Caenorhabditis elegans: one gene and its partners. The protein of the gene in region 1 interacts with the protein of each later gene in a pairwise test. Each region holds a gene or a part of one and is shown in the gene's direction. Other genes may lie near its edges. The genes, in order: Y65B4A.7, Y69H2.3, idpp-5 and R02F11.1.

Region 1 (6,824 bases):
ATAATTATTTACCGGAAAAAATCGATAATTTCCAAAAAGTTTGCCATTTTTGAATAGATCCCAGAAATTTTTCTCTATTTTTCTAAAAAAAAATATCTCTAACCAAAATGTTTATCCTCCTCATATTTCTGCTGGTAATAGATATTCTGACACCTCTTCATACATGTTCGCTTCTCCTCGGCCTCAAAGAACGTGGCCGGCGAGCACGGGACTCCACACGACAGGTCAAACGAGTAGGGACGGCAACCGTCACGGCCACCTGGAAATAGAGATGGCCTAGGTTTTCGAAAAACTCTTCCACGGGCTTAGAAGAATCGTTATTGTTTGGAAAAATCGATAATTTGCAAAAAATCGATAATTTGCAAAAAATCGATAAATTGCAAAAAAAAAATCGATAAATTGCAAAAGTTGATAATTTCTAGAAAATTCGTTCAAATTTTTGGGGAAAGCTTATTTTCAAAAAAGTCGATAATTTGCAGGGAAAATCGATAAATTTCAAAAAATCGATAAATTGCAAAAATCGATACTTTTGAGAAAAAAGTCGATAATTTTTTTTAGAAAAATCGAAAATTTTCTAGAAAAATCGTTAATTTTCTAGAAAAATCAATAATTTTCTAGAAAAATCGATAATTTTCTAGAAAAATCGATAGTTTGCGGGAAAAATCGATAGCTTGCAAAAATCGATAAATTGCAAAAATCTTCTAGAAAATTCGTTCAAAATTTGGAACAAGTTAATTTTCAGAAAAATCGATAATTTTTTTTAGAAATTATTACAAATTGCGTGATATAAAATTCAATCACATTGTAGATCAAAGGTTCCTAGGCCACCTATGACGTCACCGCTTACCTGTAACAAGTCCCTGATTAACCCAATAGGTCAAGGCCTTCAGTGGATCTCCGCCGTAACAATTTCCGCACACCGAGCAGCATCCAATAATATCCTCCTCGGACAAAAGTGACTTAAAAGTTCCATTCGAGTGAATACAGGCACGGTCGGAGGCGACACCGGCGGCGGCGACCGCGAAGCAACTCCCGCATCCTCCCTGATTTGGAACATTCGAGATTGACGGGCAATTCGGCCATTTCTGACGAGCGTCGAAGTTTTTCGGAACATCGGAGCTGTTAAAGTTCTCAAGTTCACTGCAAAATTGCAATTTTTGGGATGATGCACCATGTTTTGTCGAAATAATTCAGAACCCAATGCACCAGATCTTACGCGCAAAATTTCAAATTTTTAGGTTTTGAACGCAGCCCGGCAAAGGGTACATAAGTGTAAATGCGCTCTACCGAACCGTGTGGAAGTCATCATTCACGCGCCTCTGGCTTCACTCATATTTTGAAATGGAAGATTTTGCCGAACTAGGCCACTTGAGCTCGGCCACGGCCGGGGTAGATTTACGGCGCGTTGCGGCCGGGGTAGATTTACGGCGCGTAGCTCGGCTTTAAGGCCGGAAGCCCGTGGAGTTTACGAAGCATCAGATATTAAGCGCAAAATTCTTTCCTGGTGTTTTACGAACATTTTGCTGTCTTTTTAAAATTGTACCCAAAACTTTTTAAAACTTCTGGAAAAATCCAATTATTCAGAAGTTTTGTTTAAAAAATCGATAATTTTTAAAAGGAAAATATAGATTTTTCTCGAAATTTGGTAATTTCTGCATTTGCGTGTAAAATATGATGCATTGCAGGACTATCGTATGCATCACAGCTTACGCGCTAAACTACATGCGGCGAGAGCGCGGAGCATCGTTGTTTCCCGCTCAAATTTGAGTTAACTCACTCCAAATGCCGCTTCATCGCATCAGACTCGAAAAATTTTCGAATTTGTTCCACGTATTCCTCGACCGCCGTCTGATTTCTCGTATATTTGAATCCGTAAGATCGATTTTTGACACCAAACTTATTGAATTTGGCTTTCCACGTGGTCTCCGGCGAGTCATTGACTTGACGAACGAGTTTTCGCAAATATTCATCATTATCCCGTTTATCATTTGCATCTGTCACATATCGACGGTAGAGGTAGAAGCTACCGTATACCAGACCGAGAACTGAAAATTCAAAAAATTTGGGTCTCGCCGCGAAAAAACGTGGCGAAGTTTGCACATGGTGCATCGACAGCAAAAATCGATAATCTCTTGAGAAAATCGATAAATCATGACAAAAATCAATAAACGTTGATTTTTCAAATAATAAATTTGGATAAAAATCGATAAGTCTTTTAAAAAATCGATAAGATCGAGGGAAAATCGATAAATTTCAACTACCGATTTTTTTAAATTGCGCGTTTGATTATACACGGATTTATGGCTTCCCTCATATGGAAGAGTTTGCCGAACTAGGCCATTTTGGCTCGGCCATATCTGGGGTAAATTTACGGCGCGTTGCGTGTCGCGTCGCGGCTCGATTTTAGTTGTAAAACTAAATGTATTTATCCGTGTGGAGTGCACGACTTTCCCACGTGTTGTCCGGAAGGCGATTGTCAATGGAGCGCGAAAAGTTCAATGAGGAAGACCAGAACCCCGTGATTATAAAATCAATAAAATTTTGAAAAATCAATACGTTTTCCCACGTTTCTCTTCAATTTTCTCCTTTTTAAATTTTTAAATTAATCATTTCAAAAATTCGAAAAATGTTGTTCTCGTCGAACAATAAACGTCTCCAAAAGATTGTTCTTCCATATAATATCCATTGCAAAGGCTGCACAACAACGCTGACTCGTCAAGAAGCTCAAACTGTGAGCACATTTTTGGAAATATATTCAATTGAAAATATCGATTTTTGCAGGGAAAAGTGATCAAAATTCAAGACGAGATGTATCATATTTCATGCCTGAAATGCTCGGTTTGTCAGGTAAAACATTGCAATAATCGATAATTTTAGCGAAAATCGAAAAATTCGATAAATTCTTAGTGAAAATCGATATTTTCTGATTCGCTAAAATTCGATAAATTTTTAATCAATTCATTCGATAAATTCTTACAAAAAGCGATAATTTATTTTTGCGAAATTTAATAATTTTTTTTCAAAATTAATTTTATAACATGTGACACACGTTTCTGGCTTCCCTCATATTTTGAAATGTAAGAATTTGCCGAATTAAGCCATTTTGACTCGGCCACGGCCGGAGTAGATTTACGGCGCGTTGCGTGTCGCGTCGCGGCTCGGTTTTCATTTTAAGTTGTCCGTGTGGAGTACACACACACACACTCCCCTGCTTTAAGGCGATTGTCAATGGAGCGCGAAAAATGCAATAAGGAAGGCCAGAAGCCTATGTAATTTGTTTTTGCAAAAAGCATTCCTCATTGAATTTTTCGCGCTCCATTGACAATCGCCCGCCGGACAACGCGCGGGAAAGTCGTGCACTCCACACGGACACGGGGTTCTGGCCTTCCTAATTAAATTTTTGCGCTCCACTGACAATTGCCTGCCGGACAGCGCGTGGAAAAGTGTTGTGTACGCCACACGGACAAATACAGCAGTTTTACAATTGAAAACGAGCCGCGACGCGACACGCAACGCGCCGTAAATCTACACAAAATCTCTCCGACCCAAAATGGCCTAGTTCGGCAAACTCTGCCATTTCGATTTATGAGGGAAGCCAGAATTCCATGCACGGACAAATACATTTAGTTTTACTACAAAAACCGAGCCGCGACGCGACACGCAACGCACCGTAAATCTACCCCAGATATGGCCGAGCCAAAATGGCCTAGTTTGGCAAACTCTTCCATTTCAATTTATGAGGAAGACAGAAATCCGTGAAAATCAATAATGTTTTTTTTTTTTTGCGAAATAAATATGTCGATTATTGATTTTTCCTTATTTCATTAAATTCCGTCAAAAAATCAATAAATTTCTCCAAAATTCCAGACAGTCATTGGCATGACTCCGTGTTATCCAATGCCCGCGCCGTACGGTAACGCGCTCCGTTGCGCGGACTGTCACCGGGCGGCCAAGTCACCAAAATGCCACGCGTGCAAATTGCCGACTTTTGAGAGATGCGTGTCGGCGTTCAATGTCCACTGGCATATGGCATGTTTCAAGTGTAAAGCGTGTCGCCACCCGATTAAAGGTCAGTGTATGCAAATGTGCTCCACCGAACGAAACCTATTTTTCAGGTCAAGAGTACGTGGTTCACCAGGGATGTGCCTACGATGAGGATTGCTATCACCATACCATTCAGAAAATCGATATGGAAAATGATCCGGCGAAATAAATTTTGCAATTTTCAATATTTCGATTATCGATTTTTTTCTTGGTCTCGGAGTGTCGTAGTTTTTTACTTACCTGCCAACAAGAGTAATATCACGCTAGCAATTGTGGCGGCGACCTGCGCCAGCCGTTTCCGCCGACTTCTCGTCTCAAATGTGGTCCGTGTCTGCTCTTTGTCGGTTGGGTACATTTCTGCAAAAAAGGTGCCATTAAGTGGGCGGAGTTTAACAGTCTAACTTTGCCGAGTGTCGTAGTTACAGTTTAGGTGCCGAACCAGAAAAATTGAAAATTAAACAAGAGACTACACGGGCTAAGATTATCAATAGGGCGCTTTGCAATTTGATCTACAAAAAATGCGGGAATTTTTGCCCCCAGAAAAACGTGACGCCAGCACACTCTTAACCATGCAAAATCAGTTGAAAAGTCTGCACCTCTTCTCCCGCATTTCTCGGAGATCAAACCAAAATGGGACACTTTGACACCACGTGCACGCAGACTACACGGGCGAGGATTATCAATAGGGCGCGTTTGCAAACTTATATTCAAAATTATTGTGGTGATTATGCTTTTGCACATACGGCGTAAAATGAGGAAATCCTCTGAGCAGAAGGACAATATCAATGGCAAAACAAACAAAATTTGACACATTTTTGCTTCTCCCCCCTGTCCCCGCCCGGAACAAAATACGCCTTAGCAGCAGCACAAATGTGCACACGAAAACATGAGCACAAACACCGGAACACTGCGCGGCTGACCAATTGACCAGAGACAAAAAGCTCAACGTTCAAAATTTTTGAGTGAAATTTCGATATTTAACAAGAGGACACCCCATTACGGTATGATCTACAAAATATGCGGGAATTTTTTGCCCAAAAACATGTGACGGCAGCACGTGCGTAACCAAGCGAAATCAGTTGAGAACTCTGCGTCTCTTCTCCCGCATTTTTTGTAGATCAACGTATTCAAGCCAAAATGAGACACTCTGATACCACGTGAGAGGAGAAGGGCATGGGAAACCTAGATGGAAGAGAAGTGACGTCACATGGTGGCCTAGGAAATCAAAGTGCGGTAGGTGGAAGAGAAGTGACGTCATTTGACCTAGTGGTCGAGCATGGAAGAGGGATGGCGTCACCTGGCCTAGGAAATTTGACGGCCAAGCCTAGATTAGAGGGCCTAGAAATGCTCATTCCAAGGCTTGGAAGAGGTGTGACGTCACTGATGACCTAAGAATTTTAGTGGCCAATTCGGGTATGAAATGGCGTCATTAACATCGATGGCCTAGAATATTTCTCGGCCAAACTTACCAGTGGTCTTGGAATTTTTGGGACTAGGAATGGAAGAGGAATGACGCAAACACATGTCCTAGAATATTTCTCGGTCCAGTATGGTGAAGAAATGACGCAACTGATATTGATGGCCTAGAAAATTTGGCGGCCACGCTTTTTAGTTACTGTTTGTCATAAGTTACAATCTCAACAAACTTAAAAAGAATTGCCAAAAATTTTCAAAAAGTGAAAAAGATCGAAAATCTCAGCATAATTACAGTAGGGATTAAGCATGAGACGCAAGAAACGGCAAACTACGGACAGAATTTTATGAAAGTTTTTGGCGGCTTTTTCATGTTGTTCAGTTGCGATTTTTTTTGGACAAATAAAAACTCGCTAAATTTCGAGATAATCGTAGAAGTAGGGCTTGCATGTAGGCATTGCCTGCCTGACATTAAGGCGGCCTGCCTCTTGCCCAGCGTGAGGCCGGCAGGTTTCAGGCAACCACGCCTGCCTACCTATCAACTGAAACAATGATCAACGGTCGAATCTGGTGGTCTGATTTGATACCTCTTTGTGCAACAAAAGAATTTATTCAATAAATATTTTGAAACGTTTTTAAAATTTGCACAGATTTGTTGGAGCACTTTCAAGAAATACAGAACAAATTTTCTGGAAGAGTTTTTCAAATTTCTAGGCCACGAGGCACCTCTAGATGGCCTAGAAATGTCAAAATCTGGTTTTTATGTATTTTTGAAAGGGGAAGAAATATTTGTTGGTTGTACGGTCCCAAAAGTCTGTTCTGGCTACGTGGCCGCGAAAAGAGAAAACTAGGCCATCAATTTTTTCCGCGGCCACGTCATAACTTTGCTCAAATCATCTTCATTTACTATAATTTTTGCGGGGAATTTCAAAAAATTATCAGAAAAAGTTTTGCCGGGAATTCAAATTTTCTTAGAAAATGTTTTGGCAGGAATTCAAACTTTCTGAAAAAAATATTTTCAAATTTTCTCACTGAAAATATGTTCTTCCAATTTTCTCAGGAAAAAATGGTTGGCGGGAATTTAAATTTTATCAGAAAAAGTTTTGGCGGAAATTCAAATTTTCTGAGAATATGTTTTGGCGGGGATTCCAATAATCCTGCTATTAGAAAATACTTTAGCGCGAGTTCGAAATTTTTTCAAAAAAAATCTTGGCGGGAATTCAAATTTGCTTAGAAAATTTTTTCACATTTTCTGAAAAAAAAGGAAAAATGGTTGGCGGAAATTCAAAATTTTCAAAAAAATGCTTGGCGGGAATTCAAATCAAAATTTCTCAGAAATTTACTATATTTTTGAAAAATTTATTAAA
Region 2 (8,046 bases), on another chromosome or scaffold:
AAATTTTAGAAAAAAATTCAAAAAATTCAAAAAAAAATTTTCCAAAATTTTTTTCCAAATTTTCAAAAAAAAATTTTTTTTAAATTGTTCTGTTTTACTATTATTTTGACTTGTAAAACTATATGTCATTTAATTTTCGTCCATTTATAGCTAAAAAAAGGCCAAAATGTCCAAAAAAAACCAGCCTAACAGAAATCGACAACACAAATTGCTCACTCTCTAAAAACAGCCAAATTTTGGCGGTTGACTATTGGGTTTTTATTGAAAATATACTCAACAACCCTGAAAATTTTACATAATAAGGCCAGGTTGAAAATTTACAAAAATATTCAAAAAAATTTTTTTTCGAAATTTCAAAAAAAAAATTTTTTTCAAAATTTTTTATTTTTACCAAATTCCACCAGTTAGGAACTGGTTTGTTTAGAAAAACATACTTCATTTTCTAGTGAACTCTGTTTAGCTACCAACGTCACACAATGTTTCATGAGTCATATATCCAGTCAGCCCCGTACTCTTTGTTCTCACAGCAGCAGACATAACCGATGAAGTTTGTTCGGTCAATTATTATTGTCATCACTACACCCATTTACTTTTGATCTTTCGGTAGTTTCGCCGAGTACCACCCGTAGTTCAGTTCAAGGCCGAGTGGGTTGGGCTTCAAAAAAATGCGAAAATTCAAAAGAAAATAATGACGAATTTGACCTGATATTTGGGTATAAAATGTGCAGATTTTGGTATTTTGTGTTCTAATTTTTACTACGGTTTTTCGAACTTTTTATATATAAAAGGCCGGATTTTTTGTTTTTCTTTTGTTAAAATGTCTGAAATTTTCAATTTCCTGTGTAAAATTGTCCAAAAACCCAAATTTTCAAGTTTTGGTTTTCCTTATAAAAACTGTCTGAAATTTTAAATTTCTCATCTTAAAGTGCCTGAAATTAGAATTTTTTAATTTTCCTGTGTTAAAGTTTCCAAAATTTTAAATTTACTATGTAAAATATCTGAAGTTTTTATCGTAATTTTTTCATATTAAAAAGTCTGGAAATTTAAATTTCCTACGTAATTATCCTACGTAAATTTATTGAAATTTCTTATTTCCTATTGAAAAATGTCAAAATTTTCTAATTTCCTATCTAAAATGTCTGTAAATTTGAACTAACTTTATAAAAAAGCAGGAAATTCCAAATTTCCTTCTAGAAAATTTTTGAAATTCCTGGAAAACATAGGAAATGAAAATTGAAAAAATCTAAATAAAATAAACGAAAAAAAATAAAGTGAATTACAGGTTTCTAGTGTAAAAAACTCAGCTTTTTCTAAATTCCAATTTAAAAATGTCTGAAATTTTAGAATTCTATTTGAAAACTGTCCAAACTGCATATTTTCCTTTTTACTCCGACTGACCAACTCCCTCTAGAAACAATCCATTTTGAATTTCCCGCCAAAAATATTTTCTCCAAAAATTTGAATTTCCGCCAAAAAAATTTTTCTCAGAAAATTTGAATTTTCCGCCAAATTATTTTTCTCCAAAAATTTGAATTTCCGCCAAAAAAAATTTTCTCAGAAAATTTGAATTTTCCGCCAAAAAAAATTTTCACCAAAAATTTTTTTTTTCAGAAAAATTGAATTTCCCACCAAAGTATTATTTCTCAGAAAGTTTGAATTTCCCGCCAAAACATTTTCCAAGGGTCTCACCACAAAAAGAGCCAAACCCCGCCAATACAATATTTTTCAAAATTAACATCAAAAATCCCAAATTTCTTGCAGAAAATGTTTATTTAATCAGCTTTTCATCTTTGATTTCAGCCAGCTTTTTCACATGAAATCATATAAACAAATGGTGACACAGTGCAAATATTTACGCTTCTAAATATATAAAATCATAGAAAATTTGATGAGAAAATCGAGTTTTTGACCTTCAAAAAGTGCTAAATTTGGCAAAAAATAGTCGATTTCAAACGAAAATTTTGTAGAAAAATTTAAAAATTCCTTCATAAAAATGGTTGAAATTAGAATTTTCCTATTCAAAAATGTCTGAAATTTCCAATTACCAATGTAAAAACGTCTGAAATTTTAATTTTCTAATTGCAAAATGTCAGAAATTTCAGTTTTTCTATTGAACTTTTCATTTCCTATAACCCGAAACATCCAAAAAACAATAAATTCTGCCAAAAACCGCCAAATTTTCAGTTTTTTTGCCGGTTTTTTCTCCAAAAGTAGTCCCAAAACCCCATTTTCTCGAAAATTTTACATTTTTCTCAAATTTTCTATCAGAAAATTCAATTTTCCCGCCAAACCCCCCTACAAATCCCAATCTCCACACATCATTTACAAAAAAAAACGTGTAAAAAATGTGTGGGAGATCAAAAAATAAAAGATTTGGCGGGTTGGGGGATTAACCCTTCAATTTCCGTTTTTTCTAGTCAACTCGCGCGTGTTCATTTAATCCAAAAATCCACTACAACTTTGTGAATTTCGTTAGATTTTCGTTTATTTTTTTGTTGGTTCGAAATATTGATTTTGTCTCGTCATTTAGTCGTATAATTTTAGTACTCAAGTGTAGTTTGTAGTTTGTAGTGAAACTGCCCATGCTGTCCCATTTCGGTTTGATCTACCCCCCAGATCTACAAGAATTGCGGGAATTTAGACGCAGAGTTCTCAAATGATTTTCAAAAACTTGCAGAAATTTCAAATTTCCTATACAAAAATATCTGAAAAACTGATTTTCCTGTAGAAAAACGTCTGAAAAATCGATTTTTATATGTAAAAAATTTCTGAAATTTCGAATTTCCTATATAAAAATCTCTAAACATTTCACATTTCTTATGTAAAAATGTTTGAAAAAGTGATATTCCAGTAGAAAAATGGCAGAAATTTCAAATTTTCTATGTAAAAATGCATGAAATTTCAAACTGTTATGAAAAAATATCCTAAAAATATGATTTTCCAGTATAAAATGTCCTAAATTTCAAATTTTTTGTATAGAAATCTGAAATATTGAATTTCTCATGTGAAAATATCTGAAAAATTGATTTTCTAGCAGAAAATGCCGGAAATTTTGAATTTTTTAGTACAAAAACGTAAAAAATTTGAACTTCCTATATAAAAAATTCTTGAAGTTTCAGATTTCATGTTTAAAAATGTCTAGAAAATTGATTTTCCTGTAAAAAAAACGTTTGAACTTTCAAATTTTCTATGTAAAAATGTCTAAAATTTCCATTTATTCATTTAAAAGTGGCCGAAATCCTGAATTTCACAGTTCAAAATACCGGAAAAATACATTTTTCAGTCGAAACATGTCTCAAATTTTGAATTTTTTTATATAAAAAATTTCTGAAAAAAGTGATTTTCCAGTAGAAAAATGGCAGAAATTCTGAATTTCCTATGTAAAAATTCCTGAAATTTCGAATTTTCAGTGTAAAAATATTTGAAATTTTGAGTTTCCTGTAAAATAATGTCTCAAAATTTGATTTGTCTATATAAAAAATGCCGTAAATTTCCAATTTCCTATGTAAAAATATCTGAAAAGTTGATTTTTCCTATGTAAAATTGTCTGAAATTCATAGATTTTTTCTATAATTTTTTTTTGGAAAAAACAGTTCAAACTACATATTTAAACTTGAAAACATATCAAAAAATATTTACTTTGAACAATAGTTTTTTCCCGAAAATTCCATGTTTTTTTGCAATATTTGCATATTGTTTTCAAGTTTTCTGTAACTTCGAATGTTGTTTTTCTTTAAACTCCCCATTTTTTCCCAGCAATTTCTGCAAAATTTCCAATCTTTTGACCCCAAAAATCATCAAAACACAGACATTTTTTTTTGTTTACTTTCTCCTTTTCTCTCTCAAAACATAATGTTTTCCGCACTTTTGATGTCTGATTTCTCGATTTTCTGGTTTTTTTATTATAATGTTTTTCCTGAAACTTTATGTTTTGGTTCGCATAAAAATGCTATAAAATGGCGTGATTTTATAGTTTTCCAGAGTTTCCGAGTTTCGGAGCGATGCAGTATATTGTGCTGCTCAGCGTTCTGCTCATCGGAGCAAACGCTCAACTTTCAGCGACAAGAGGTAAGTTTTTCCAACCTAAAAGTGTACCTAAACCCCTTTCAGACCAAGAATGCAAAGAAAACGAGAGCTTCCAGACGTGTGGCACGGCTTGCGAGCCGACTTGCGGGCTTCCGACTCCGGTGAGCAGATTTTGTTGTCAAATTCCGGCTTACAACGTGGTTTTTGCAGACTTTTTGCACACTGCAATGCGTCATGGGATGTCAGTGTAACAGTGGATTCTTCCGCAGAACTTCGGATAATCGTTGTGTTGAGCAGAAGGACTGCAATGTTGCGGCGAATGAGACGATTCCAATTCCACCACCAGGTTAGAAGGGGACACAGACTAAAATTTGGGCCGGGCTACGCAGTCTCGGAATCTGAAATTTTGGGTCCGCTAGTACATCAGAGTTTCCAGACAAGGCCCAATCTCTAAGGCCGCACTGGCCCTACAGACAATGGCCCGGAGTTCGAAACGGGTATCTAGACCCAGAGCTTGGGGGTATCAGCCTCCTGACTTTGTGGGCGCCAAGCCCAGAGTTCAAGGGTCCCAGGCCCAGAGTTCGGGGGTACCTGCCCCAAATTTTGGGGATACCGAAAGACTAAATTTTGGGCCGGGCTGCACACGGAGTCCTGGAATCTGATGTTTTGGAGCGCGGGGTCCGCTTGAAAATCAGATCTTCCTGACAAGGCCCATTCTCTAAGGCATCTCAGGCCCTACAGACACTGGCCCGGAGTTCGAAACGGGTATCTAGACCCAGGTACCAGCCCCCAGAGTTCATGGATCTTAGGCCCAGAGTTCAGGGGTGCCAGGCCCAAAGTTCAGAGGTCCCCAGCCCAGAGTTCAGGGATACCAGCTCCACAGTTCAGGGTCCCCAGCCACAGAGTTCATGGGTTCCAGGCCCAGATTTCGTGGGTACCTGGCCCAGAGCTCGGGGACTGCCGGACCCAGAGTTAAAGAATACCAAGCCTTGAGCTCCACGGTAACAAGCCCAGAGCTCCACGGTACCGAGCCCAGATCGTGGGTACCAGTGCCAGACTTCAAGGGTAACAAGCCCAGAGTTAATGGGTCACAGGCCCAGAGTTCATGGGTACCAAGCTCAGAGCTTGGGGTACCGAGCCCAGATCGTGGGTACCAGCGCCAGACTTCAAGGGTGCCAAGCACAAACCTACCAGGCATCCTAAAGCCTCCAAACCAAGACCCCCGACCCCAAACCCCTCTAACCCCCCACCAATTTCCAGCCACCAACCTCACATGCCCAGTCAACGAGGTATCCAACGAGTGCCACAACCCATGCACCGAGAAGAAGTGCCCACAAAAGAATGCTCCACAGGTGAACTGCTTGATGGCCTGCCAAGTCGGATGCTCCTGCATGGACGGATTCGTCAGAAACAACCAAGGAGTGTGTGTCAAGGAGGCCGAGTGCCCAGCGATTGGTAAGTACTCTAAAAATTGGACGAAAAAATGCACCAGAATTGCGCCACCGCACTGCAACTTTCCAGGCTCTCAAACCTGCGGAACCAACGAGGAGCCCAACCAGTGTCACAACGCGTGCTTCGAGAAAAAGTGTCCGGTTAAGCCCCAGCCACTGGTAAACTGTATGGAGAAATGCGACATCGGATGTTCCTGCAAAAAGGGATTCCTCCGGAACCGCCAGGGACAGTGTGTGAACCCTACCGAGTGTCCGGCTACTGGTGGGTACCGTTTTAAAGGAAACTAGTTAGAGCCAGTGATTCTAGGCTCCACACTGACTTGCTCCAAGAATGAGGAGCCCAATGACTGTCACAATTCGTGCTCCGAGGCAAAATGTCCTGTCAATCCACAGCCATTTGTTAGGTGCATGATGAGGTGCGAAAAAGCATGCTCTTGCAAGAAGGGACTCGTTAGGAACCGGCAGGGACAGTGTGTGAAGCTTGCAGAGTGCCCACCGACTGGTTAGTAGGGCTGAAGCCTAGTTCTAGTGGCTTTAGGGGTCTCGAGTGAATTTTCGGGCAAAAAGTCATGTTAAATAGGCTTCTGGCAAAGTTTTGATGAAAATATCTAAGAAAATTGAGCTGAGCTCAGTTTTAGAGAGTTTTAGCAAGTTTGGTGTCTTGAAACGAATTTTTGCGGCATTTTTGACTCCGCTGTTGATTTTTAGAACAATTTTGCGATTATGAGCAGGTTTGCATCAAAATTGATGTAAATCTAGGCCTTTCAACAAAAGTTTTAGTTTTTGGACCAAAATTTCGGTGCAAAAAACGACTTGACCCCTTTTTTCGACAAATCCGGAGCAATTTTCCTATTTTGGGGCAGTTTTGAGCAGAATTTTTTGATTTTCCCCTACAAATGTGGTTTCCAGGCAAGACTGACACAAACCCATGTGCCTTGGTACTCTGCAAGCCCGGTCACCGATGCACCATGTCAACTGGCCAGGCAACTTGTGTGCCAGGTATCATTTTTTCTGTCCGCGGGCGCTGGTTTGGTGCGGTTCTTTGCTAAAATTCTGAGAATTTGGTGTCCTGAAATGGACTTGGATGGAATTTTGACAAATTTGTGGATTTTCGGAACGATTTTCACATTTTGGGACAGTTTTGGACCAATTTTATGGGGATATTGGCTTTTGACATACTTTTTGGCAGTTTTTTGACGAAAACGTTTTTTTGGCACACATTTTGGTTTAACGTGCGAGTTTCAACAAATCTGCCAACTTTCGGCACATTTTTGAATCAATTTTGAAGGTTTGGGGTTGTTTTTGACGCAAAAATCGGGATTTTAGCTTGTTTTCATGCCAAAATCATGATGCAACGACGTAATGACTTGACGCAATCCTGGTGCATACCCTGCGACTCAAAATATACGAATTTTCCGACTCTAACATATAAATTGTTTCCAGGCAGCACTGACGAGAACCCATGCAACTTGGTGGACTGCCGTACCGGTCACCAATGCTCCATGTCAACTGGCAAGCCGACTTGTGTACCAGGTATCGCTTTAGGATTTGGGGAAATCGGGAACTTTCTGTTGAATTCGGCTAGATTTTCAGTACTTTTATTCCTATCCTTGAGTTTTCTAACACCCAAAAAATTAAAGTGAGAACCGCGCCAGAGACCCCACCAACCGGGATCACGTGCGCCAACGTCAGATGCGGATTCAAGGGAGGTTGTGGAATGGTTGAGCCCGTCGGATGCGTGGGTTGCAAGCGTCAGCCACAGTGTTTGGAGGAGGACTGTGAGTTTTTAGGCAGAAAAAAATTCAGTTAAAATCGTCGAAATTTTCAGATTGCCGCGCCCAGAACTGTCCCTACAACGAGGAATGCGTTTTAGTCCAGGTCACGTGTATCCGGGCTCCATGGTAGGGCTTTAGTCCGGAATTTTTTTTTGTTGCAGAAAAAAAGTTTCAATTTCAGTAACCCAATCCCAACATGCCGTCCAAAGGACTTGAGACTCATCAAGCCTCTTATCCAGCCCCGTGAGCGCCGTCAGGCCGGGCCAAGCTGTATGACGGCCCGTTGTGGGACCCCGGCCGGGTGCGCTATGGTCAGGCCAAGTGGATGTATTGGTTCAACTGTGGAGAAGGGTTGTGAGCTCATGCCGATGTGTATTCATGTGAATGGTAGGTGACTGAGAGCCACGATATGTCGGGCGCTGCAACTTAACATGGTCCTGCGGACCTGCGATGTGTCGGCTGCTTTCTCTATCCTTGAAGCATCTGAATATAGATACCTTGGAAGTGTCCGACGCTAGAAAATCCGTAAAATTTCCAGCTTGCGCCTCCACGTCCTGCCTCGTCGGATCCCAATGTGTCCTCCACCAGGTTCAATGCTTCACGCAACCATGGTAGATCAAATTCCCCGCTTCTTTCCACTAAATTATTGTTTCAGCGACCCGATTGCACAATGTGAAGCTCCTATCAAAAAGCCAATCAACAGACGGTGCAGATCAAATGAGAAGTTTGAACCCTGCAAGACTGTCTGCTCAGACACCAAGTGTAATGAAGAGCCGGTAAGTGGGCGGGATTTG
Region 3 (8,644 bases), on another chromosome or scaffold:
GCTCTTTGTGCACATTCGCATACACAAATCTTGCAACAAATATTGCTGCAAATATTGAACATCCCGCTGAAAACAAGCTCATATAATTGAATTAAAGAAAATTCTTTTTAATTTAAAAAAAGAAAAGAAGCAAAAACATATTCATTTAATTCGAATTTAGTTTGTATTGAATTTCTTACAGAAACTTTCTCCTTACACTTCAGAATTCACGAAACGAACTATTATGACTAAGCATTCTGGATATAGTCCGGTCCATCTTGTCACGGAACCCAAACGCAAACATTGAAACTGACCCGAATATAAAACGGTCTGCGCTAGTTACAATTAATATACTTTCCACACATGTTTCGTCTGAACACTGGAGCTTATATAGTATTGTATTCAATTTTCAGCCAATGCTTAAGTACAGAGGTAAGACTTTTTCAGTTATTAGATAGTAGATGTTTGTTTGATCGTTGAACATCAACGAGTTTCTCACATCTAATCAAGAGCCTTTACAATTGTTGATTCTCAAGCCGATATATCTTGTCATGACTGTAGTCGCCAAGACTAGTTGCACGCTTGTTTTTTTTAGAGTGGATGCGTGAAGGTTTTGACTTTTTCTTATCGTGTACTAGGTGTTTGCACAAAGGGATCAAAATTTGAACATTGTACTTCACGTTAAAGTTTGTATTTGACATGGGTTGAAAACTTTGATGATTGAAAACTTTGAAAAAATGTTTAAATTTTACTAACAGTTATGAGTCGTTTGAAAATATAAGCTAATAATTTATATCAAAGTTATCATCCTTCATTGCATATTTTCATCATTTATCTCACGTTATTTTGTTGATTAAAATATGTAACCAAAAACTGTATGTAACCAAAAATTATTAAAATTGGTTACCGATCGGTCTTAAATGTACCTCAACCAACGAAAAAACGTAATATGAACGATCAAAATATGCAATGAATGACGATAATTCAAAAAACTCAACTTCGGACCCGTACGAGACGGAAAAGGTCAAAATTGGAGATACTAGTATAAATTGGACTCTTTTTTTGAAATTTTACACTGCCATAAAAAATGCTTGAAAAATTATAGAAACCGTTACACCTTCTTTAACAATCTCAATTTTATTTCTTTAGATTAAGAAAAATGCTACAACAACTGCTCTGGCAAACCTAGAGGATGCTCATATCCGAGCAAAACGCCAATTTGGAGGTTTTGGATTTGGCGGGGGATTTGGAGGAGGTTTTGGTGGAGGTTTTGGTTTCGGAGGTGGGGGATGCTGTGTGAGCACGATGATTTGCTGTCAGATGCCGATTCCACCACCGATGCCACCACCGATCCCAATTCCGATTCCTGCCCCGGTCCCAGTACCTGCACCTGTTCCGCAACCAGTGCCTGTACCGATGCCTATGCCTATGCCGATGCCGATGCCTATGCCAGTGGTATGTTGTGTTTGAAAACTCAAAAGTTTAAGCGTTAAAATTCAATTTGCAGCCAGTACCAGTTCCCGTGCAGAGCAATTGCTGTAGTTGCTGCATGCCGGTTTGTATGTCGGTTTGTATGAGAGGGTACGTTGAATTGCAACTACTATATTTGCTAAGTGTGGTTTTTCATTTTGTAGAGGTTGTGGATACGGAGGCGGTGGTTACAGTTCTGGTTATTCATCCGGAGGATGCTATGGAGGAGGAGGAGGATCATCTTGTGGTTGTAATAGTTTTGGTTATGGACGGAGAAAGAGAGCTACACTTGTGAAGAATAATGCCGTGGCAATCAGGAGAAAACAAATTGATATGGTTGTTCGAGACTAATAAGAAAAATTTAGGAAATCTTTCAATACGATCACGATTAATAAAATATTAAAATATCTGAAAACTTATTTTACAATGCATACACACATTCTATATCATATTCACGATTAGCTATTTTTGACAAGCTGCAATCTTAAGTGATCTTGGCAAAATCTTGGCAGCACTGTGCCAACTTTCTGTCAGAAATTTCAGCAACTGGTAACCTACAAAATAAACACGTTCCGTTCTTCTCTGTTTCCGATGAAAACCACTGCCCGTCTATGTGCAAGGCATGTGGTCCTGTGGTGTAGTGGTTATCACGTCTGCTTTACACGCAGAAGATCGCCGGTTCGATCCCGGCCAGGACCTACTGTTCTGTTTTCTTTTAATGAACACTTCATAATATACTGCAAATGTTTTATGTCATTTTAATAAATTTATTCTGTAGAGAAATGAGTTATTACCCGAGTCATGCTTGAAAAAATGCGAGTTTTGAGTATTTTTTGAGTTCTGATGACACCCTCCATTTATTTTTTAGACCAAAAGTTGATGACCACCAGAGATAGTTGAAACCTTGAAGCATTGGAATGTCAATTTTTAAGTCACACAATATTAAAATATGCCGATTCAAAAATGATTTGGCCAATTTGAGCAATCATTTAACGTGTCGAATGTTCCACTTATTCGGCCAGTTTTTCATAAATTCAATCTTCCATTGGTCTTTTCACTTGTCCCTGAATATTCCTTCCCCTTAACTATATCAATAGAGCCCGATGAAAAATGTTTCAAAAAAATCAAAAAACCATGAGAATGGCAGCCAAAAAGTGTCAAAATCCGCCTCCCATCTGCGAGACCACTTGAAAAATTGAGCATAATGACCGGGCGATTTCCGGATATCGGTATGCGATCCAGTGTTTGGCAATGAAATGAAATGGTGTTTGATGGGCGCGAGTTCACAAAAAGTGGCCGCGGCCGCCGGGCACAATGCAGGTGTCAATCTCTATAAATATATGGGTACAAATAGCGGGGAACTGACCACCGTGCCGGACATTTTTGTATTCCTTTCATTCCTTATTACTATCCGTTTAGCGATAATCTAAGACTTTAAAATTTTCAGAGTGTAAAAATGCAATATCTTATCGCTGCTTTTGCAGTGTTTCAATTGTCTCTTGGAGATGAGGTATATTTTTTTCAAAAAATAATACCTTCCAGAAAAATTTAATTTTGCAGTTCTCAACATCCGCTCTGACTTCACCATATCTGAAAATGAATGGATCTCTCATCACAAGGGTCCGTTCAAAAAGACAATGTTGTGCAATGTGCCCTTCAGGTAACTGTGGATGCGGTTCGTGCAGCGGATTCGTGAGTTCTCACAATACAACTTTCACCGTCTATTTTGTTATTTTAAAGGTCACTTGTCCCGATCGGTGTCAACCAATGTGCACGCAAGCTTGTGTTATGGCTAAGGTTTTTAGTTATTTTCCTCCAATCGCACATATGTGTTTTCTTTGTTTTAGACCTCAGTTTGTGTGGATCAATGTATGCCAAAATGCGATTCAGCATGTATAAATTTAGTTAGATCGGTATCATTTCTAGTCAAAGTATACTCTAAAAAAGATATTATAGGGACCATCTTGTGACCAGCAGTGTATGCCATTATGTCTCCCAGCTTGTATTAACGCCATCCAAGGACCGACGGAGTGTGCTCCACAGTGCATGCCATCATGCTCATCAAATTGTATTCAGGTGAATATTAGTGTTTTGATAATAGATACCGTATATTCCCTATTAGTTTGGCCCCCCCCCCCACCAATCGACTTTGTCGGCTTATATTTTAGCGGTTTCAGAAGATTTTTGATATTTTCAAAAACCAGAGCATAACGATAGATTCGAAAAAGATTTTCCCGTTTGAATTTTTGAATATGATCGAAGACAAGCGAGATATAAAGGGTCAAAGTCGAGTGAGGAGGGACCATACTAATAGGGAATATACTGTAGTTTTATATTAATTTCTATGCATATCTAATTGGGTAATTGTACTGAAATAAAAAGGTACATTCCTAGAACTAGTTTCACAACATCAAACCCACATATTTTCTAATTGACAGTTTTTGGAAATCTCATTTTGCCCAGTTTTTCTGATGAATTTGTGAATACTTGGGTTTTTAGGTTTTGTGGCATCCCCGTTCCAAATATCGCAATATTATTATTTTTTAATTTTAGCAAGTATTCCCGAGCTGTCCTCAACAATGTCAACCGGTGTGCACTCCACAATGTATCCAGTCAATCCAAGTAGCAATTCAACGTCCAACTTGTGCTTCATCGTGCATGCCTTCCTGCTCCCAATCATGCATCCAGAAATACGAAATTACCGTCGAGCAAGAGACTTGTGTTCCAGCATGTATGCCAGCATGCTCATCGGCTTGCGTTCAAGCAGTCACATGCAGTACCTGTACCAATAATTGCCCATCTATCTGCTCGTATGTCAATTTTTGAAAAGGTTTCTCAACAGTCATTGTTTTCTTGTTCAGGCAAGCGAACTGCATTCCACAGTGTATGCCAAGATGCCTCCCAACCTGCATTCAACAGATTCAAATATCGGTTCCCCTACCAGTAAGCAAAAACCAGTCAATTCTAAAACATGTTTCGATCTTGCGAAATTATTGGCCATCGTAAAGAAAATTGAATTGGCATGACTCACATTTAAAGTGGTTTGGTTGTTTGGGGGTGATGGGAAAATATAGAAAATGATATGATACAGATCGAAATTCAAAAATTGAAAAATGCCAAAAATTGCAGCCCCCGGCCCCAAGATGTGACTCAATGTGTATGCCATCATGCTCCCCATCTTGTGTACAGCAATATTCATTGTGCCCCCAACAGTGTAGACCAATGTGTACAAATGCGTGTGTCACCAATCTTCAGGTGCCAGAAAATTTAAAACAAAGAATTTCTCAGTAGTAGTAGCAATTTAGGTATCCCGACCAGTGTCTCAGTGTCTTCCAGCATGTATGCCATCTTGCACGTCTTCCTGTGTCCAATCAATGTGTCCACAGCAATGCTATCCGAGTTGTGACATGAACTGCATTCAGCAATACGCCGTTCAAATGGCTCCAACGCCATGTGCAGCTCAGTGTATGCCTCTATGCGAGAGTAGCTGCATTGCTAGGGTACAAAAAAGCTAACCCCAAAAAACCAAAAAAAGCTATTCCAGCTGTCATGCGTCCAAACCTGTATGCCTGCTTGTAGTCCAACATGTGTTCAGAATTATGCGGCTGGCCCGATTCAATGTGCACCGGCTTGTATGCCGCTGTGCCAGCCGACTTGTGTACAACAGCGTAAGAATGTGTAGGGTTAGGGTTCAGGAGTTGCATGATATTTGCAGAGCAACGGATGCCTCAACCTCTCCCTCCTCCTCCTACCCAAGGGTGTCAAGCATGCCGAAACAGGGGATGAACTTTCCAAATAACATATTTATTACTTTTCAGAACTCACAATAATTCAAAAATTGTATAATAACACCAATTTTCATTAATATTTCTAACGCGGGTCCTTTTTTGGGTTAGATCTAGAAATCAGAGTTTCAGATGCCGAAGTAGTTGTAGCTTGCGGAGTTCCTTGCCAATGCCAGCCAGGATATGTGCAATGCTCACAAAACCTCTGCTGTTTGAAGTAATGCAATTTCCAATACATTTTCAAGTACCGATCTCCTCAACTTTTTAGGTACAAGAATATGGCTGCAAAGTTTCGCAAGTTGAGTGGCTCGACGACAAACTCTAACAATAATGGCAATAACGGTCACAACAACGGTCCAAATAACAACAACGACGAGGATGATGAAGATAATAATAGTGCTGGCGGCAGTTACACAGAGCCAATGAGAGACTCACCAAAGACCTCAAAGTCAAACTCGACTAGTTCGGAAGAGGTATTATTCTGTCAATTTAATAGGCTACTTTATAATTATTTTTTGAAGAAAAACAGCGGAAAAACATTGTCTGCATTCTCTGACACTCAAATGGACGGCGACTCGTACGCAAAGGCTTAGAGGAGGGGCGGAAATGTTTCCATTTATAATTTATACTGATTGGTTTTTCTTATGTACGTATATCAAAAAGCAATCAATCGTGCTGGTAGTTAGAGACTATTTGAATAATAAGATTAAAACTAAATAAATATTCATTTTTTTAATTTATTAAATTTCATGTGACTTTCAAATTTGTTTATCTGGAATAATAATTTTGAAATTGAAACATGATGATAAACTATTGGGTATTCAAAATATAATTTTGTCATACAAAATGTTTTATTTTAGAAATGAAGTAGCAAATTTTCAATGAGAGCTTTTGAGAATTTGTCGGAAAACTTCAATGGCGTTTCAAATTATTTGGAGAAAACTCTTATCCTATAGGTTTTAACTGCCAAAATATAGATTCCGTGTTTGAATGGTTTTTCGTAGTTTTTGATTAATTGAAGGTGAAGTGGGGAAATCGTTAAAACGATTAATGTGATGCCAAAAAACCAAATATAATGTGTTTCTTTTGAGTCGGAAATAGTGAGTTTCACCGCTTTTTGACCCGAAATAAAACTAATTTCTAATTTATTTTTAAATGTTTTATTATAAAAATTGGTCATTTTAACACCATAAAAATTGTTTTAAACACCTTTCTTACTGGCAGTACTCCACATTTAAAACACTTTTTTTAGTCAATAGAAGCACAAAATTGCTAGTTTTCTTCTAACCGCTGTGAGACTGACAAATTTGGCAACATTTGAGATTTCAGGTAATTTTGCAAATGTAGCTTTTTTCCCAATGTTTTGAGCCCCAAAATAATTTTTTCAGAAGTTTTTCAAAGGTCTCATTACACTGTGGCGCCGTTCTGGGTCTAATATGAAATTAAAAAGTTTGCTACTTTATGAAAAATGGTCTTAATACATTCTTAAAACAAATTTATAATTTTCTGACATGAAGGAATGCGATCTACTTTTGAAGGTAACTTATCGCAAGTAACGTTTTTTTGTAAAGTACTAAAGTCACGATGAGAGACAATTCACCCTTCTCACAACAATACTCTAATCTCAAAACATTGGGCGTATGTACCTGTACACTATTTTACTCGACCCCGGTCATGTTAGTCAACACGAAAAAGGGAAGATGTTGTCGACCTTCACATACACGTAACGTACACAACAGCGATCAGCCACCACGGGGCAGTTTTATTGTTCATTTTTCGAAAATCGGCCCTCCCCGAGTGCGTCTCTGGTGATTGCTGCACTATTTTCGCATGAAGTGGGCACACACACACACATATATACGCGTTGTAAGTTGTCTCGCGGGCCATTTCTCGGTGAAAATACTTCGAGACATATCTCCCTCAAACAATGCAATAAACAACTTTGTATCGATTGATTTTTTATTTATTTATTGTTGTTTATTTTGAACAGTTTTCAATTTTAACAAGAATCATAGGAAAACAGAAGCAATGAAAAAAACGCCATTCATAAAATTCGAGGGGAGAAAAATTGTAACTTAAGGCAACTTTGAAAAATGGTGAATGCGGGCGCAGATACAATATGCATGTGATTTTTTTTTGGTGCGTTGATTATCGGCATGGCAGTGATCTTCGCGAGGGGCGATTGATCTAAGCTCTGAAGAAGCAGTACCAGAGAGCGTGGATGACGGCTGGCACGAAGAAGAAGAAGCACAGGATGATGTTCACAGCGACGTGCATGTTGCAGTCGTTTCCGTGGATGAAGATGGCGAGTGGCTGGAAATCAGCAATTTTTGTTGAGTTTTGCATTGAGTTGTTGAAATTTCAAATAATGCTACGGTTGAAAACTACTTACTGGAAGGAAGATCGCAAGGATCAACTCGATGATTTGTTGCATTTCGATGGCCATGGTGTTCTGAAACATTTGAAAACGTTTTAGTCGGGTTTACAAGCTAGACTGATAAAAGACAAGAGAAGGGACAATATTTCGTGATGGTAAAGAAATAAACTCTGAGAGCTTGTTGAAACAGGCTAGAAAAAGAAAAGGAGATGGTGAAAGAAAACTGCGTTGTTTTATAGTTTTATAGTCCTTTGACACGATATGTGTTAGTCCTTTTTTCTACATTTTTCTTGTTTCAAGAACAAATGCAAGGACGAATGTCAAGCCTACGTAATATCATAATTTACCCCGCCGGGGCACGTGGTGGTGGCGGGTTTTTGGCGTATGACCTCTGGACAGGACAGGGATAAAGAAGATGTATCAGTTACAAAAGAGTGCACCAACCGAAGAGTAGGAGAACAAAATGGAGGTGAGAAGAGGCACAGAGACTGAGATGTGGCCGTTGATGGGCGGGGTTCACTTGGGCGGAGGAAGGACGAGATGGGGGTATGAGAGACGAAAAAGAAGAGACAACAAGTCATACATACACAACAAATCTGTTTTGTTGTCACTGACTGGGAGAAAAAAACGTTATTCGATTAGTTTGATCGGCCGGAAATTATCGACCCGAAGCCTGCGCACTTTTTGGAAACGGGGGAAACGGGAAACCAAACTTGCGTAGAGAGGAAGTCGAGAATAAATAGGTAAACTAGTTTTGGTGCGAGAAATTGGAAAAACAGGGAAAAAAACTTAATTGTTGGCACTAGACATTTCAAAGAGTGACTATTTTAGATTTTTTTAAAAACATTTTCAAGTTGGCCCAAAAGTTTTATTATTTCAGTTTTGCCATTTCGACAACTCTCGGTCGTTAGGTAACCAAGTACCACTGAAAAAGTACCTAACTGAACAAAAAAAACGCGATATGTGAAATAGGGAGTAATTGAATAATATCAGCCGCTACAGACAGTTTGCAAAATTTTGCCACATTATTAGC
Region 4 (7,167 bases), on another chromosome or scaffold:
AAGTGCTCTTCTGTAGCTAAATTTTTCGCACTGACCAAATTAAAAATTTCTCTTTCAAATAATTTTTTCAGAAATGCGTTAAATGCATTCTATGTGACTAATGTTTTTTTTGAGGTTAAATATTGACTGATTGCTGGTTATCAAAACTTTAAAAATGTCTAACTAGCCGGTTGAAGTTATCGGGCTCAAAAAGTCCAAGACTCTAGTCTGCACACCGGCACTTGTTCTAACAAAAACCTTACAAAAAAATCGTGTAACTTATACAAATGAGCTTTTTCCTCATTTCCGTGGAAGAAAATTTCCGGATTCCCTTTTGTAATTTCTTTATGTGTACACTTTTCCCCGCATTCATCGAATCATAACCAAAATGTTTGCTGCGGCGGGCGGCAGCGTCGGTCAAAGAATGGCATTTCGGCGGCGGCAACGGAATCATCGGATCTCATGCAAAACACTCGGGTGAGGCTCATTCTTTCGCAGAAGTTGGCTGATGATGATGAGGATGATAATGATGATGATCCGTGTTTGCTCTGAACGACTGGGGAGACATGCGAGAGAGAGTCGCCCTTTAGAGAAGCAGGATCACTTGAGCACACATACAAAATTCCCGAGAGTTTATCACTGATAAATGGACGGGCGGGGGGAAAAGAGTGGACTGTCCGAAATTTGTGCGCAGAGAAACATTTATGTGCACTCTCTCTCTCTCTCTCTCTCTCTCTCTCTCAAAAGTTTGTATGCAGAGCTTGGTAGTACAAGCCTGTCGACACAATCGGAATGTTGAAATTTTTCGAAAAATCGAACAGTGATAAGGGATATAGGATAAGAGTGTAGGGAGAGGAGCGTGCTTCTACTATTTTGGGACAAAGTCGGAACTTCACTGCTCTCCAGATGTTCAATGTTTATCCAGGAACACTAAAAATAAAACTTGTTCGAGTGGGTAGAAAAGTTGAAGTTCCTGATAGACATATCGCAAATTACCTGAGGAAAGAAATCCTCCCAATTTCCAGGCAAAAAAAATCGTTTAAAATGTCCGAACTGCCATATTTTCCCTATTATACATACTTGTAGAGAAATAGTTTGAAATCGCAATTAAAAAAATGAAACTGTAGATTATCCTGTTTACCTGCGTGCCTACCAGGGGTGTGCGGCAAATTTACCGAATTTGCCGAATTTGCCGAGCACGGGAAATTTCAAAAAAGTAGATTTGCCAAATTTGCCGAGCTCGGCAAATTTCAAAATTTGTCGCACACGTCAAAAATTTGACAGTACAATTTTGACTAAAACTATTGATTTTTTCGCCAAAAAATTACAAAATTGAGTTATTTAGATGCATAAGCAAACATACTACACGGAACTTATTCGGAATCCAGGTGATTGTTCAGAATTCAGTAGTTTTGGTGCTCCAAAAAGCATCAATGAGTATTAATTTTTTGGAGTTTGTTGAGCACGGCTAATTTGCCGTAGGTAGGCACTTTGATGCCTCGGCGTCCCATATGCAGAACAAGCTCAAAACAGACACAACTCTGGAATATGTACGGCAATTAAAACTGAGCTTTTTCTGCGTATCTAAAGGTCAGACACAGCAGTCCAGCTCCAATTTAAGCCTTGTTCGAGCCGGGGACTGTGACCAATAGTCCAGTCGTGGATTGCTCTACTTCCCACTTAAGGCTGGATGGACCTAGTGGGAGGTAGGACTTGAACTGGTGACCTCTAGATTGCTGGCGGCCACCACTGGTTCATTGTGTCCGGACCTCGATCGCGATGTCTCCACTGAGACATTATGCGTACATCTTAAGTTGTTCGAAGACTCTCGCATGACTTCCATGTTTCTTGTTCCAATAATTCCCAGACGTCACAAAGCATATTCCACGTGTTTTTTTTAAACCGCGTTTGGACGAGTGTTGGGAAAAAAAGAGAGTTGTGCTCTCATAATGGAGGTGTATTATGTGCTCACTTTCTCTCTGAGAAGTTGCCTCTTCAAGGATGATGGCTTCCCGTCTCCGGCCGTGGTCTACACCACCCGCGTGTGTTGCATCCCAAAACCGGATACTCTTACCTGCCGGTCAGTTGGCCCGGCAGCTCTCGCTGTCTCTCTGACGCCACCGCTGCCACTCGAGTGCACCGAGTATAAAGAGCACAGTGCTCCGACACTTTAGAGTCAAATTTTCTTCCGATGGCAAATCGGCTACTCACACATCAGGAACAGATTTTGCTCTGTTCTCTGTTTTTAAGATTTTCTAGACACCGTAGTTTCCCTATTAGACATGCAACCCTTGCTCTATTTTGTTATATCTCTGTTCCCTTCGGTTCTATCAAAAAACTGTCATTAACTGACAAAACACGTGCAAAATATTTATCTACAGTTAGACAGTAAACGCCGCTTAAGTAGATCAATGAGTTTCATGTCCAATATGCTAAATACGGTAGGAATCATTTTTTCAACTATTCTAATTTTTCTTGTAGCATTAAAAAAACTATCAACTAACATCCTAACTACTATTTAAGTATCAAGCATTGCAAAAATTTAAAGAAGCAAAAGGCTCTTACTATTAGAAAGCTATATGTTTTCCATTGACCACAGACTCCGGGCTTTTCATAAAAACCTTAGCAATCCGAATATAATTGGAAAGTTTCTATATATGCTTCAACCGTGATAAGATAAGTTGAACGACATTTTGACAAGCGCGCGCTCACAATCTTTTGGTGTATGTGTGTGTGTGTGTGTGGGGTCACTCAAGTATTTGAACATCAATCGTCCACTTCATTTTACAAACACATAGACTGGACTGAGCCCGATGGGGGAAATGAGAGAGTTTCGTGCCGCGCGCAAAGAGCACGTCGCCGCGCGGAGGCGCCAGAGTCTAAGCTAACACAGAAAGTCGGAGGGAGACGAAAAAGAGAAGACGGTCAGTTAGTGTCCCCTCCCCTCTCTCCTCACTGTTACGTACAAATGACCATTTAGTCTTGCTGCTCCATCGGGCTTCTCCTTGAGAACAAATCTTCAGATTTATTTTTGAGTTACCTTACTCTACCTACTAATTTTACAGTTTTACTTACATATTACTCTTTATTATTTATCTGAATCTTTATTAGTTTCCTGATATAATATTATTATTATTATTAAAATTTCAGGCCAGCGCAGGGTCAGGTGTTCCTACTTGTCTTAAAACCTTCAAATAACTCATTATGAAGCAACTCGCCATCTCCTTCTGCATTATCCTCCCCCTCGCCTGCTTCTGGGTACTGAACGCAGAAGACGCGAAAGAAGGTATGTTGTCACTCACTCTTCAACTCCTAAAATCCGACTTTCAGCTCCAGAAATTCGTGAAGCCAACTCCACAGTATTCCGTCAGAAGAGGCAGTTTGGATGCCCATCCAATTGCTATTCCTCATGCAGTTCCTCGTCCCAGTGCCAGAGATATTCTGTCGCATCTGTCTGTGTCCAAGGATGCTGTTGCCCAGGAAACAATAACCTTGATAGTAAGTTTTTTTAATATGAAGGTTGTGTAGGAAGTTGAAAAATTGCTTTTTTTCATAAATCAGAGATGTTAAAGAAAACGTCGCAATTATTAAAAACTAGGAGCGGGGATAGCTCAGTCGGTAGTATTGATAATTAGCAATCTAGAGGTCACGAGTTCAAGTCCTGGCTTCCCTAGGTTCAGTGTACCCAGATCCGTTCATATCGCTTAAGTAACGCATCGTCCTTTAACCCTTTAGTAAGGAATATGAGATAAAAGTTGAATGCTGACACCTTTAAAATTTAGATCTCCCTTAGTTCAAACCTCAAACCTTATCAAAATCATATCAAGAGATATCAAGAATCCAGTCACCGTTCCAATTTCTCAAGTGTCCCCGCCGTTCCCTTCCGGTTCGAGCAAACACACACACTGATTACCTAATGATTGCTACAACTCCCGGGGAGACGCTGCTTAGTCCCTTTTGCGGTGATGGAGACACCTTCTTATACGGCTCAACATAAATACAAAATATTTGCGAAGTTTCGCGGGGTGTTTGCGTTTGCTCGGTGCGTGCTGCTGTGCTCTGTGTCTCACGAAGTCGGCGCGGTTTGGACAACACGCACGAACCTATCTTTTTCTATCTTTAGCTCGTATCAGAACGAGTTCAAATATGGGTGTGGAAAGTCGTCTAATTCCAACAAAAATTTCAGCCGCCTGCTCCGGAGGACCAGCCGTCGCCGCCTGCCTCGGAGGACTCTGCGGACAAGGATTCTTCTGCTCGAGCAACAACTACTGCTGCAGATGCCAATCCGGAAACAGCACGGGACCATGTGTAAACCAGGTCTGCCCAACCGGATTCATGTGCAACACCAACAACTACTGTTGCCCACTCGGATCCGGAGGAGTCCTCGGATCATGTGTCAACGGAGTCTGCCCAACTGGATACACCTGTGGAGCTGGAAACTTGTGCTATTTGAGCAGTGGAAAGTAAAAAAATGGAATTCAATTTTTCCCTTTTTTCATGCGACAAATTGCCCCCAGTCTTTCTATATTTTTATATATTTTTTTAATATATTGTACTTTCCTTCTCCGTTCTCTGACTCTCTGCTCCTTTTAAATTATTCTAATCTATTTGAAACGAATCGTTCCCACCACCAAGACAACAACATCAACAACAAACGAAATCCCAAAAAAATATTTGAATTGTTTTTAAATTTAATTTGTTTATTTATTATTTTATTTTAATTAATGAAATAAAAAAAGAAACATTTGACACTCTACGACGATATGTGAGAAAAAATATTATAGTTTGCAAATCAAAATTTTCAAAATTTCAAACAAAAAAAAGTATAGTTAATTATGCGAAAAAAAAACATTGAGAGATGCTGATGATTTCTGTCATGAAACCGGAAAAATATGAAATAAAACTTAAAGTAGGGGGGCACTGGGAAGAAGAAAAAAACAAAATCATAATGCAAATGTGCTCTAATAATAACTAATTCAAACAATTTTATGCTCGTCGTGAGGATGATGATCATAATCATAGTCTGTATGAACAAATGCACGTTCAACTTCCGGCAAGCTTTCGATGTTTGATTGGAGGGTCTCACTGATGTCATGGGATTCTTTGAGGATCATATTCTCGTCGAGCACAATGTGCACCTGGAAATATTACAGATTTTAGAGTAGCACAATAATTCAGTTGTAAGCTCAGCCTCTTCAGAAATGTGCGATACGGGCTTATGTTAGGCCTAGGTGTAGGTTTAGGCCTAGGCTTAGGCTTGGGCTTAGGCTCAGGCTTAGGTTCAGGCTTAGGCTTGAAGAATCCAGAGAAAAAATATTCTTACCTCAACTAAAAACTTGCTTCCAAAATGGTACACATAAACCGTATCAATATGTGAAATCCGAGCATCATGATCCAAGCAGACTTTGATGATCCTATTAATGAACTCTGGCTCTGCAGTTTTACCCGACAGCTTTGCCAAATGCTCCCGTCCAGTTTGCACCCAGGTATACAAAATGTACATAGAAACCACAATAGCACCGGCTGGGTCAAAGTAGTACGAGTACTTGGTGCCGAGCCAGGCACAGATCAGGGCGACCGTGTTGGAGATGCAATCGTTGCGATGGTCCATTGCGAGCACGTTGACCGATGGTTCCTTGTATCGTTTACAGAATAGGTAGAGGGACAGCTTGACGAGAACTGTTGACACCATGATGACTACAGAGGTGATGGTGACGTTGAGCTTGGGTTCTTCACCGATTCCTGGAAATTTTTAGGATTGTAACTTAAAATCCATTGCTGAGGGAGGGGAGCATAGATTGAAGGATCAGGGAAGGATCAGAGGTAGAGCTAGTACATCCTGTAGGAAAACTTTGAATTCACTTTTTTAAAAATTTTATAAGTTCATCACTTTGTGGGCGAATATATTGAAGATTTCCTCCAAAACTGAGAACCGCAAGACTAATCAGCTCAGTTTCCAACCAATCAGACAAAATGAGTTCGAAGACGCTGATTGGTTCGAAAATTAGAAGGGCTCCTAGGTTTGGAGCAATTTCAAACAATGTTTTTAATCAGAATTTCAGACTATTTTGAGTCTTTCCATGCAAAATTCAATTCAGCATTTCTTACCATAAAGATGGAATTGAATTCCATCATGAATTCCTCTCACCGACGCAATGATCAATTGAATCGACGCCATTCCCATGATCACACTGATCAAAATCAAGGACAATGGCTCCAACCTGGTCCTTCCTCTCGGATACAGATAAGGATCCCTTTTCTTGATCATTCTTTCTGAAAGTGAAATGACAAGTCCTGAAGTGATATCTACCACAGAATCAACCATCGATGAAATGATCGACATGGATCCTGAGAGAACGGATGCGACGACTTTTGCAATCATCAGAAGGAAGTTCACTGCTAATGTGATGTTGGCCATTCTCGCGGCCGTATTTGATTCGTCGTCTTTTTTCTCGTCAACTGATTTTTCTTCGGTGTCTGTGCGTTCCATTGGTTTCTGAAATATTTAGAGAAAATAGTTGTTTGTTTTAGTAAATTACAGACATTTGGATTAATTGTTTAGAAATTGACAATGTGTCGTTAGTTTAAAAAAAGTTTTTAGCAAAAAAATCGGCAAATTGAGGGTCTCCGGATTTCGGAAATTGCCGGTTTACTGAAATTTGAAAGAACAGCAATTTGCAGATTTGCCAATTTGCCGTTTGCCAAAAAAAAATTTAAAACATTCTGGAGAAGATGCTTTATAAGAAAAAAAAACACTGACAACTGTAAATTTGTTTAATATTTCCTATTTGGATATTTTAGTAAATTCATTTTTTTGGTAGTTCTAGAAAATTTTAAAGGCCCGATTTTGGAGTAGAATTGAAATTTTTAAGTATTTAAATTTCCAAAAAGTGGAAAATGTTCAAAGTTTGGGTTAAAGTTTGAAACTTTCCGATAAAAACATTCAAAAAAAAACAATATTTTGATAATCAATTTATGAAAAGTAAACTCAAAATTTCGGAGTTTTTCGGAAATTTTAAATGTCGGTTTTGATTTTTTGAATTACATACATACATATATATCTCAAGTATGCTCCGGAGTGAAACAATGAATTTTTACGTGTTTTTTTGAATTTTAAAAATATTGTTGAAGTTCTCCAAGTGTCTTCAAACGTTTTTTAATTCACAAAATTCTTGAAAAGCTAACACA

The links.
Region 2: the proteins of Y65B4A.7 (region 1) and Y69H2.3 interact in a two-hybrid assay, tested with the Caenorhabditis elegans proteins (one large-scale study listed by BioGRID).
Region 3: the proteins of Y65B4A.7 (region 1) and idpp-5 interact in a two-hybrid assay, tested with the Caenorhabditis elegans proteins (one large-scale study listed by BioGRID).
Region 4: the proteins of Y65B4A.7 (region 1) and R02F11.1 interact in a two-hybrid assay, tested with the Caenorhabditis elegans proteins (one large-scale study listed by BioGRID).

What each region holds. Positions count from the first base shown.
Region 1 is NC_003279.8:643,028-649,851, reverse strand, and holds Y65B4A.7 (LIM zinc-binding domain-containing protein), read left to right. Parts: upstream 1-2,609; 5' UTR 2,610-2,626; coding exon 2,627-2,731; intron 2,732-2,781; coding exon 2,782-2,847; intron 2,848-3,867; coding exon 3,868-4,069; intron 4,070-4,115; coding exon 4,116-4,213; 3' UTR 4,214-4,226; downstream 4,227-6,824. Other genes in the region: Y65B4A.2 (Peptidase C1A papain C-terminal domain-containing protein), read right to left, coding at 104-259, 848-1,140, 1,778-2,045, 4,285-4,401.
Region 2 is NC_003283.11:18,660,052-18,668,097, reverse strand, and holds the start of Y69H2.3 (Follistatin-like domain-containing protein), read left to right. Parts: upstream 1-3,971; 5' UTR 3,972-4,001; coding exon 4,002-4,068; intron 4,069-4,110; coding exon 4,111-4,187; intron 4,188-4,236; coding exon 4,237-4,372; intron 4,373-5,286; coding exon 5,287-5,481; intron 5,482-5,547; coding exon 5,548-5,739; intron 5,740-5,784; coding exon 5,785-5,979; intron 5,980-6,386; coding exon 6,387-6,476; intron 6,477-6,920; coding exon 6,921-7,010; intron 7,011-7,117; coding exon of another isoform or gene 7,118-7,255; intron 7,256-7,305; coding exon of another isoform or gene 7,306-7,378; intron 7,379-7,433; coding exon of another isoform or gene 7,434-7,639; intron 7,640-7,790; coding exon of another isoform or gene 7,791-7,863; intron 7,864-7,907; coding exon of another isoform or gene 7,908-8,028; intron 8,029-8,046.
Region 3 is NC_003284.9:3,787,068-3,795,711, reverse strand, and holds idpp-5 (Activated in Blocked Unfolded protein response), read left to right. Parts: upstream 1-2,896; 5' UTR 2,897-2,905; coding exon 2,906-2,959; intron 2,960-3,009; coding exon 3,010-3,141; intron 3,142-3,189; coding exon 3,190-3,246; intron 3,247-3,296; coding exon 3,297-3,362; intron 3,363-3,405; coding exon 3,406-3,525; intron 3,526-4,002; coding exon 4,003-4,259; intron 4,260-4,310; coding exon 4,311-4,392; intron 4,393-4,578; coding exon 4,579-4,704; intron 4,705-4,754; coding exon 4,755-4,949; intron 4,950-4,993; coding exon 4,994-5,117; intron 5,118-5,366; coding exon 5,367-5,451; intron 5,452-5,502; coding exon 5,503-5,707; intron 5,708-5,755; coding exon 5,756-5,827; 3' UTR 5,828-5,970; downstream 5,971-8,644. Other genes in the region: F35A5.5 (uncharacterized protein), read left to right, coding at 343-411, 1,129-1,434, 1,487-1,560, 1,614-1,800; pmpl-1 (UPF0057 membrane protein F47B7.1), read right to left, coding at 7,422-7,547, 7,627-7,680.
Region 4 is NC_003283.11:4,797,965-4,805,131, forward strand, and holds R02F11.1 (CC domain-containing protein), read left to right. Parts: upstream 1-3,129; 5' UTR 3,130-3,183; coding exon 3,184-3,265; intron 3,266-3,309; coding exon 3,310-3,477; intron 3,478-4,165; coding exon 4,166-4,446; 3' UTR 4,447-4,720; downstream 4,721-7,167. Other genes in the region: R02F11.3 (Cation efflux protein cytoplasmic domain-containing protein), read right to left, coding at 4,956-5,117, 5,303-5,721, 6,088-6,475.